3 linked regions of the Macaca mulatta genome follow. Each later gene encodes a partner of the first gene's protein in a complex. Links are inferred from orthologs where the notes say so. Each region holds a gene or a part of one and is shown in the gene's direction. Other genes may lie near its edges.

The links. Proteins that work in one complex are often made in the same cells at the same time.
Region 2: PRPF4 (region 1) and LSM6 share a complex: the UniProt entries of both Homo sapiens proteins name them as parts of the precatalytic spliceosome. The link is inferred for Macaca mulatta from reciprocal best matches to the Homo sapiens genes PRPF4 and LSM6.
Region 3: the proteins of PRPF4 (region 1) and PPIH are in contact, whole or in part, in a crystal structure (PDB 1MZW), measured with the Homo sapiens proteins. The link is inferred for Macaca mulatta from reciprocal best matches to the Homo sapiens genes PRPF4 and PPIH. Residues at the interface, in NP_004688.2 of Homo sapiens: Arg113, Gly116, Glu117, Pro118, Ile119, Thr120, Leu121, Phe122, Gly123, Glu124; in NP_006338.1 of Homo sapiens: Phe14, Arg26, Phe46, Cys47, Thr48, Gly49, Pro57, Ile58, Gly59, Tyr60, Lys61, Gln173, Cys174, Gly175, Glu176, Met177.

The regions. Positions count from the first base shown.
Region 1 is NC_133420.1:45,037,197-45,040,950, reverse strand, and holds the start of PRPF4 (U4/U6 small nuclear ribonucleoprotein Prp4), read left to right. Parts: upstream 1-1,526; 5' UTR 1,527-1,579; coding exon 1,580-1,606; intron 1,607-2,373; coding exon 2,374-2,551; intron 2,552-3,754. UniProt on the Homo sapiens protein: Plays a role in pre-mRNA splicing as component of the U4/U6-U5 tri-snRNP complex that is involved in spliceosome assembly, and as component of the precatalytic spliceosome (spliceosome B complex).
Region 2 is NC_133410.1:154,735,057-154,737,704, forward strand, and holds part of LSM6 (U6 snRNA-associated Sm-like protein LSm6), read left to right. Parts: intron 1-2,070; coding exon 2,071-2,184; intron 2,185-2,648. UniProt on the Homo sapiens protein: Plays a role in pre-mRNA splicing as component of the U4/U6-U5 tri-snRNP complex that is involved in spliceosome assembly, and as component of the precatalytic spliceosome (spliceosome B complex).
Region 3 is NC_133406.1:198,092,933-198,096,586, reverse strand, and holds part of PPIH (peptidyl-prolyl cis-trans isomerase H), read left to right. Parts: intron 1-202; coding exon 203-295; intron 296-1,342; coding exon 1,343-1,430; intron 1,431-1,908; coding exon 1,909-1,949; intron 1,950-2,698; coding exon 2,699-2,767; 3' UTR 2,768-2,784; intron 2,785-3,654. UniProt on the Homo sapiens protein: PPIase that catalyzes the cis-trans isomerization of proline imidic peptide bonds in oligopeptides and may therefore assist protein folding. Participates in pre-mRNA splicing.

The DNA.
Region 1 (3,754 bases):
AAGTCATCGAAGCAAGCTGTTCAGTTTGGTTAATAATTTTAGCCTCCTATAAAAATTATACAGGTCAACATGATAAGGATTAAGTGAGAATGATGGAAGTGAAAACTCCTTGAAAGTATATAGAGATACAAATTATTACATGTATCTAGGATGAAACTAGGGACTGTGAAGTATACAAAGGAAGAAATATTTCCTTCTCCCATGAAGCTTAGGATATTACAGGCGATATTATCAACACAAAACACTGGCACATTACATTTCAAATTGCTTTGTACTAAATCAGGCATTATCTTCTACCAGATTCCAATGCAGACAAATGGTAGAGAAAGCCAAAGTTCCAAAGAGGGAAAGAGAGGGATAGGGATACCTAAAAGGAAAAAAAAGGTCTACTATACATTTTACCTTTTCTGCAAACTGCGAAAAACTGGCCACTACGGAGCAGTATAGAGTAGCAGTTAAAAGTGCTGGCTGTAGAGGTTAAAGGGCACAGGTTCTAATCCCACTGCGCCACTGATCTTGAACAATTAGTTTCATTTCTAACTAGGCCTTAGTTTCCTCATCTGTATCCTACTTTGCTGTTGTAGGAAGTGAATAACGTAATGCAGAGTAAGCTCTTGGAACATTACTTGGCATTTAATAAATGTTCAATAAATAACACCTATTATGGCTGTAATTTTTCTAGGGGGTTGGATGAGGATCTGGCCAGCTACGGAAACGTCAATATTTTGAGGATCTCCCACCGTCCACGTGGAGATAAAAACCTTATGCTGTTCGTCTCTAATACCCCAGCATCCAGCAGGGCAGAGAGACGTACAGTTCCCTGACACCCTCCTAACCATCATCTTACTCTCAATCTGATACAAAGACCAGGCTGAAGACAAATGAACAAAATCAGGCCGAAGCTCCTCCGCCGGGTCTTTATTTGACTTTGGCACCAGCGGGCTCTTCTAGCTTAATCTCTCGCTGCAGCCCAAATCCACCGCCGAGCCATCAAGCTCATAGGTGGCCCCTGGGAAGACTTCCGGACCATGGAAGAGAACAGTCCTCGTCCCCTAGCTCCAGGCCTGTACCTCGGATCCCAGGGTTTCTATGGTAACACGGTCCTCGGCTCCCAGAAGACGTAAACGCCCCCGTAGGCCCGGGGAGGCACAGCGGGCCCCGGAAGCCCTCGACTCGCTCCAGAGTTCAGCCCCGAGCCGCGCGAGTCGACTTACCTACCTCTTTTCAAGTCGGCTCAGCCCCTTCCCGGAACCTCGGCTCCCCTCCACGAAACTACTGCTACGCCAACTGGACTACACTTCCCAGACGGCTTGGAGCCTCTCTCTCAGCAGAACCTCGTCTTCCGCGAGCTTTTCTTGGAGGTTCTAGGAGGGATGCCCCTCAATGCCACGACGCCATTTCCTACTACGACTTCCATCATGCTCCGCGCCGCTCCGGGCGCAGCGACGGCTCTTGGCCCATGTCCTGTTTGCGACACACTTCCGGTCAGTGACGCACTTCCGCTCTGCTGGGCGCGCGGTGGAAGGTCTGAAACGGAGAGCTTGGATTTCGCTGGGGCCTCGCGGCTCCAGAGCCCAGCATGGCTTCCTCGCGAACCTCCTCCACGGTACAGAGCCCGGGATCGCAACTCACTCTGGCAGGGAGCGCGGAGGGGGAAGAGGATCTCTGCGGGAAGGGGCCGTTAGGGAGCGAGAGAAGGCGGTGGAGGGCTGAGGAGGAAGGCTGCGGGACTCAGTGGTCTTCTACACAGCGGACCACCGTTTTCCTGACCCCTAAGCGCTTTCGTGGACTGTAGCTTATTTGCACCTCTCCCACTACAGCCCCAAAGGGCAAACATCTCTTCCGACTCATCCAGTAACGGTGCTCTGAAATAGGGAAGTGTCTTGGCCAAGGTTTATGCGTTTGGCAGATCTCAAAATTTTAATGAGACCTACTAACTTCTACCTCACGTCTAGAAACGTTTGAAATGTATACACTCGTAATGTTGTAACTTGTTATCCTTTAGCACCGCGTTGGTTATTTCATCTATCCTTAATATTTCCCCAGTGATGAGCAGTAATCTTGGATACATCGTAAAACACGAGATTCCACGTTTCCAGCAGAATAAAGTAAACAGATTCCAGAGCAAACCTTTCATATGAAAATACTCGAGAGAACCTCACTAGTTTTATCAATCCCGTCAGCTAAAGTGAGGGACTGAAACACCCTCCCCTTCACCTCAAATCGATGAAGAACATCTTAAGTAGTGTCCAATTTGTCCTTTCAATTATGAAGGAAATAGGACTGTGAAACTCAGGGCGAGCTTCATCCTCGGGAAATCCGGTAAATTGCCAAGATTAAACCTCAATTTAATCCAGATTTTTGATTTGGCAGGCAACCAAAACTAAAACACCCGATGACTTAGTTGCTCCGGTTGTGAAGAAACCACACATCTATTATGGAAGTTTGGAAGAGAAGGAGAGGGAGCGTCTGGCCAAAGGAGAGTCTGGGATTTTGGGGAAAGAAGGACTTAAAGCAGGGATCGAAGCTGGAAATATTAATATAACCTCTGGTAAGATGCAAATTGTGAACCCATCTTTACCTCTTTGTGTAATGAATACTTTCCTAAACTTGAATATCATCAGTTTTATAATGTCAAAAAATTTAAGTTCTTTTGTTTTAGACGGAGTCTCGCTCTGTCACCAGGCTGGAGTGCAGTGGCGCGATGTCTGCTCACTGCAACCCCCGCCTCCTGGGTTCAGGCAGTTCTCCTTCAGCCTCCGGAGTAGCCGGGATAACAGGCGCACACCAACAAGCCCAACTAATTTTTGTATTTTTAGTAGAGACGGGGTTTCATCATGTTGGTCAAACTCCTGACCTTGTGATCCCTCCCCCTCGTCCTCCCAAAGTGCTGGGATTACAAGCGTGAGCCACTGCGCCTGGCAGAATTTCAATTCTTAAACTTGCATCTATAAGGCTGTATTTTGCCTACCCCCTTAAAATCATGCAGAGAGCCTTTTTCTTACAATGTGTTACATAGTTTTGCTTCTACGAGTGAGCAGTCTTATCAAAAATTCAGTGTACATTTGGATTCAGATTGATTCCATTTGTCTTCTGGAGATCTAACATAGTTCTGGCATTGGTTTGCAGCTAGAGTGGTTCGTGATAATCTCCCTTTTGAAGTTTTCCAATTATTTTTTACCCAAAGGGAAATATCTTTTTTTTTTTTTTTTTTTTTTTTGACACAGGGTCTCACTCTCTTGCCCAGGCTGGAATGCAGTGGCATAACCGTGGCTCACTGCAACCTCTGCCTTTTGTGTTCAAGTGATTCTCCTGCCTCAGCTTCACGATTAGCTGAGATTACAGGTGCCGGCTACCACACCCAGCTAATTGTTGTATTTTTAGTAGAGACGGGGTTTCACCATGTTGCGCAGGCTGGTCTCCAACTCCTGACCTCAAATGATCTGCCCACTTCGGCCTCCCAAAGTGCTGGGATTACGGGCGTGAGCCACTGCACCTGGCTGAGATATCTTGTTTTATTATAAAAGTAATAGTGGCCAAGCCTGGTGGCTGAAACCTGTAATCCCAGCACTTTGGGAGGCTGCGAAGTGGGAGTCCGGCTTGAGCCCAGGAATTCAAGACCAGCCTGGGCAAATAGTGATACCCCATCTCTACAAAAAAGTAGAAAATTAGCCGGGCATGGTGACGCGTGCCTGTATTCCCAGCTAATTGGGGTTCTGAGGTGGGAGTTCAAGGCTGCAGTGAGTCATGATTG
Region 2 (2,648 bases), on another chromosome or scaffold:
TATTCCATGGCCCTGCTTTAGAGAACCTGGGTTTATCCTTCATGTTCTCACCAACTCTTGTATTAGCTTTTTTTCATCTTTTCCAATCTAATCGGCAACAAGTAATATCTCATTCTACATATATTTTATTTGTTTACTAGTGAGATTCAGCAGTCTTTCACATGGATAGTAACCATAATTTTTTTTCCTCTTATGAATGTCTGTTTGTGACCTTTATACGATTAAAACAAAATGTTCTATACTATTAGATAGCGTTACTAAAAGAACGTGCTTATTTTGTGGTTTACAAAACACCAAAAAAAAAAAAAAAACCCAAAACAAAACACAACATACAAGAAAAACCTCCAACTCTCTGTAGCAGTTTCTGTGTAAGAAAATGTCTTGTTTTGGTTATGTATAGTAGGTTATCTCATGGAGAAGGAAACGGTTATATTTCTAACCCCCTGGGCAGTTTTTTTTTGTTTGTTTGTTTTTTGTTTTTTGCCTTTGCTGTGAGAACAGATACTTTAATTAGAAGTGAACTTTTTTTTTTTCTTTTTTTTTTTTGAGACCAAGTCTCACTCTGTCACCCAGGCTGGAGTACAGTGGCTCAGTCTTGGCTCACTGCAGCCTCTGCCTCCCAAGTTCAAATGATTCTTCTGCCTCAGCCTCCTGAGTGGCTAGTGTTACAGGCACCCGCCACCACGCCCGACTAATGTTTGTATTTTTAGTAGAGACGGGGTTTCGCCATGTTAGCCAGGCTGATCTTGAACTCCTGACCTCAAGTGATCTGCCTGCCTCTGTGTCCCAAAGTACTGGGATTACAGGCGTGAGCCACTGTGCCCAGCCTGGACATTTCATTTTGAAATTCTTTTCATTAGTTTTCGAACAGGTTTGCATATTGTGCCTCAGAAGTTTCTTGCTCATTTATAATTGTGGCTTATATGTAAAATAATACAGCAGGAAATGAGCTAAAGTTATAGCTTAAGCTTTCTTTGGCTAGGAAATAATTTTATTATTCACAGTCCATTCTGGTTCTTTGAGAGTTTACCGCCTTTAGCAGAATTCTGGTAGATTAATGTCTTATGCTGTCATTACACACACAATTTTGAAAGGAAACTTTTTTGTTTAGAGGATAATGGGGGCAGAGGCAGAGAGTGAGGAGCATATTAATGAAGTTAAGACATCAAATGAGAAACTTATAGACTCGACTAATTGAATCTAGTATTTGTTTTTACTTAAATTTTTTTTTTCTAGAAAATACCACTTTAAATTAGAGACAGAGTTAGAGGCTTGCAGATTTTCATCTTCTGAAAAAGATCATTAGGTCAAATTTTACAAAATTTATACCATCTTAACACAATTAAAGATTCACTCAAACTGTTTCCTTGAAAGCTCCCTCAAATGTTTTTGGCCATTTTCTCTATTAGTTTTGATTGGAAAATATTATAGCTGTAACAAAACAGAACAAGATGTGTTATAATGCAATATGTTGCCCTATATTCTCAAGCTGCTCTTCACTGTGAGTCACAGCTTTAAGATGTTCTTTCGGGAGCACCTGCTGTCTCCTCTTCTATTATTTTAACAGATTGTGGAGACTTCCTTTTAACCCTGGAGTACATTCATCTGCTGCAATAGATGTTGTAAAAGGATGAAATAAATCTGCCAGACCCGTATTTCACTTAGTGGCTGAAGTAGGAAATGCCACTGGAACCAAGGATCATTTGTTCATGCATAATTGCCCACCTTGTGCTTAGCTTTCACAGAATGGTATTTTTGTTGGATTAGTCTTATTCTCTTACTTTTTTGAATGCTTTAAAAGTTGCTATGTGGTCATACATACCGTGAGGGAAGTGACAGTTTGTTGTTTTACTGGGTAGTAGTGGGTGCGTGACTGCCTTCCTAGTCTTCATTCAGATTGGCCTAGAGTTGTTTTGTGCTTAAGCTGTTGAGTTTCATTTAGGGTATGAATTTTTTTATTAAGTATCTAAGAGCTAATGAATAAAGAGATCGTCTGCTCTAAGGTATACCCTGTAATTTTCAACTCCTACTTGCCTTGTATTTCTTCTTTTTGACTAAATATGTCTACAGGGGTCCTGGCTTGCTTGGATGGCTACATGAATATAGCCCTGGAGCAGACAGAAGAATATGTAAATGGACAACTGAAGAATAAGTATGGGGATGCATTTATCCGAGGAAACAATGGTAACATTTCTTCACCCTACAGTACAGCATTCATTCAAAATAAGCCTTTCTGTTTATAATCCAGATCACCAAAGAGTTTACTAGATAATTTAAAAGTCCAGTTTTAGGCTTGATTATTTTAAAATGCTTATATGTCAGTTTGACCAGTTATTTTTTTAGATACATCATGGAATTTTTAAACTAAAATTCCCTCCTTCCCTTCCTTTAGTGATGAGGAACTGGGGGCATTGTTCTCCTGACCCGGAACCCTGCTCTCTTGAATATAGTGTATTATTATCTCCCCAACACATATTCCTGCTTCTTGTAGCCTGGAAGTTGCAGCTGTAAGAATGGGTACCATTTCCCTGCTGTCTTTAATTTGCATAATTTGGCAGTTTGTCCTATTTGTCCCTTCTCTATTAAACATTCAGATGCTTTCTGTGCAGATTTGCATCCTTTGATTTGGCAAAAATGGCAAAATAGAA
Region 3 (3,654 bases), on another chromosome or scaffold:
CCAGTTTTTGTGGGCTGTAGGTACCTTGTATAAGGCTTGCTCTGATGGCAGGGTGGGGTCAAATAGGTGCAGCTTCCAAGATGACCAACAAGAGTAAGAGTAGACTTTAAAGATGTCAGGCTTTAGGTGCAACAGTGTTCTTCCTCTGGTTTCCAGGGACCCAACACTCCAAGTCACTAATATTTCCCTTCTGTCTGCTCAGGGAGATGGTACTGGAGTTGCCAGTATTTACCGGGGGCCATTTGCAGATGAAAATTTTAAACTTAGACACTCAGCCCCAGGCCTGCTTTCCATGGTAAGTGAGGTCCAATCAAGGTTTTGCGTTACAGCCAGCTGGTTTCTGGGCCCCTCTTGAGGCCCAATGCTGTGTTTTGGCATGATGAAAGCAAATGCTTTCTTTCTCTTGCTTGCCCCAGGACTCACCTTTACCACCTCTTTTCTCAGTCTGGTTTGATTGAGAAAACCAGTAGGTACATGGTGGATTACAGGTGTGAGCCTGTATCACGTCTGTAATCCTAGCACTTTGGGAGGCTGAGGCGGGTGGATAACCCGAGGTCAGGAGTTCGAGACCAGCCTGGCCAACATGGTGAAACCCATCTCTACTAAAAATACAAAAAATTAGCCAGGTGTGGTGGTGGGTGCCTGTAATCCCAGCTACTTGGGAGGCTGAGGTAGGAGAATCGCTTGAACCCAAGAAGGGGAGATTGCAGTGAGCCAAGATCGTGCCACTGCACTCCAGCCTGGGCAACAAGAGCGAAACTCCGTCTTAAAAAAAAGAAAAGAAAGAAAAGAAAACCAGTAGGTAAGACCCTCTAGCAGGCTAGCAGGCTGGGGAACTAAAATATGAACCAGGGTTTGTGTCTAGGCATTCAGCCCTACTGCTCAGAATGTAAAAAGCTGTGCTTTCAAGACATATTCATAGCTGGGCCTGGTGGCTCACACCTGTAATCCCAGCACTTTGGGAGGCCAAGGCAAGAGGATTGCTTGAGGTTGAGGACAGGAGTTTGAAACCAGTATGGGTAACATAGTGAAACTTAAGTCTCTACTAAAAAAAGAAAAAAAAAATTAGCCAGGTATGGTGACACACACCTGGAGTCCCACCTACTAGGGAGGCTGAGGTGGGAGGATTGCTTGAGCCCAGGAATTTGAGTCTGCAGTGAGCCATATCCTGTTCATCTCTGTATCCTTGGATCCTAGCTTAGGCCCTGGCTCATAATAGGTGCTAAGTTAGATTTACTGAAAAAAACATGGAGGGATTAGGGTTACAAGCTCTTTTGGGAATCTTACCCATCAGGTAACATGGCCAAGGAAACTTACTGCAGGTATATTTGGTTTCCATCAGGCAAATAGTGGTCCGAGTACAAATGGCTGTCAGTTCTTTATCACCTGCTCTAAGTGCGATTGGCTGGATGGGAAGCATGTGGTGTTTGGTAAGTCCTACTCATGTCCCATGGTCCAGGCCCCATTCACCGCGGATGGAACCTCCAGAGGAGTTAGTTCTCAGACTCTTACCAAGAATGCTCAACTTGGATAACTGCTTAGGTGGTAACAGAGAAAACAGAAATGGTGGGGAGGTGGGGAACATGTTTGGCTAGAGAACTAGAGGGAAGGACAAAAGGGCCATTTGATATAGTATGGAACCACTCAGGGGAAAACCCAGTAGCTAGCACCAAAGAAATGCCATACAGGCAGCATGATATGGTGAGACTTTGCAGTCACTCAGATATAAGTGTGAGCCCTAACTCTACTTATTACCTATGACCTTGAGCAAGTCATTTCACCTCTACTGCATCTTAATTTCCTAAAGTTAGTAACAGAATCTAATGACATAATAGCTAAGAATGGGCTTTGGAAGCTGGAAAACGCTATGTAAACAAGAATAAAGTCCAGCTCACACTCTTCCTACAGGAAAAATCATCGATGGACTTCTAGTGATGAGAAAGATTGAGGTAAGTACTGCTTTGATTTTTCTCTTTCTCTCCCATTCTGGTCTGGTACTGTCTGACTAGCGTCCAGGAGCTAGAGAAGGGGGAATGAGCTCCAGTTTGTTAGGCCCAGTCTTCATTGCTTCAGGAAAAGGGAGGAGAGACCACCTAAGTTAGCCTGTCTGGTCAGCACTGAGGTTTGGCCCCTGACGACCCTGTTGCCTACTTGATAAAATTCTACTCCTCAGCATTGCATTCAAGGTCCTTCATGATTAGTCCCTGTCTACTTCTCCATGGCCCCTTCTCCTGCCACTGCCTCTTTCATGTTCCAGTCACATCAGGCTACTAGCTCTTCCCTAAATCTGCCATACACATCTCTGCCCCTTGCTCTTTCCTGCTCCTGAGCCTTTGTTCACACTGTTTCCTGTAGCTGGAATGCTCTTCTTTCCTTCCCTCCTGGTGGAATCCCATTCATCCTTCTAGGCACAGTTCAAATAATCCTCTTTTGTGAATCCTTCCCTGACCTCTTTAAGCAGCAATTTAGTTACCCGTCTACCCCTTATCCAACTCTCTCATAACTTTTTGTTATATTATCATAGGTTTGATGTTTTCTAAGTGTTTTGCATTTTCTCTTTGATACCTGTCTGCCAGGACATGGACAGTTTCTGAGTGCTGAGTCCTTAGCACAGGGGCTGGCAGGCATCAGTAAAAGTTTGATAAGGGAATGAGGAAGTGCCTGAGTGGATGAATGTCCATTGTGCTTTTTTTCCTAGAATGTTCCCACAGGCCCCAACAATAAGCCCAAGCTGCCTGTGGTGATCTCACAGTGTGGGGAGATGTAGTCCAAAGACTGAATCAGGTAAGTGTGTCTTTCTGCTATTAGGTTAGGAGTCAGACCTCAAAGAAGACAGCATGGTCTAGTGGAAAGATCTTTAGTCTTGAAGACATGAGATTGAGCCCAGTTCCTCTGTGTGTGACCTTGGAGTGGTCACTTTCCTTCTCTGAGCATGTGTCCTCATCTGTCAAATGGAAATACTGTAATACCTATCTCTCAGAGTCACTGTAAAAATCAAAAGAGAAAGGGTTGTAGGAGCACTGTACTTTTCTATCACTTTGTAATGTACAAAGTATCAATCTGAAAACTACTCAGGCAGTTTGTAACAGCACTTTCAGACTACAGTTCCATTCAGTAGTCCCCCTAGAAAGACCTGGCTCCAGGCCTGAGTAACTCTCTGCTGGGACCAGGCCAAGCAGCCAGGAGACACGCCTGTCATGCACCTCATCAGAACTGATACTGCAATTCCAGGCCTTGACTTCGTATTTGCCGGCCTCACAGGTGAATGCCTTGCATCTTCCAGCCTACATGGACTCATTTCTTACCCGTATTTGCCACTGCCTGCTCTGCGCTGGGCAGCATGCTCGCTGCAGAGAGCGGGGCAAAGAATTGAAAGGTGTCTCCTTTCAGGAGCTCATGGGAAGTAAGACATTCTCAGAGGTCATCACTAGTAATATGAGTGACACTGCCAAGTGTGAGAAGAGTACAAGGGGGAAATCCGAGGTGAGGGATAGTAATGTTTTTCTTTTTTTTAATTTCAAACCTGCAAAAAAGTTAGAAGAATACCTTGACCACCCATATATCTTCACTTAGATTCACCAGTGATTAACATTCTTGTTTTATTTCTTTGCCTTGACATTGGTTTTTTTCTTTCCCTTCTTGCCTCCTCATCCA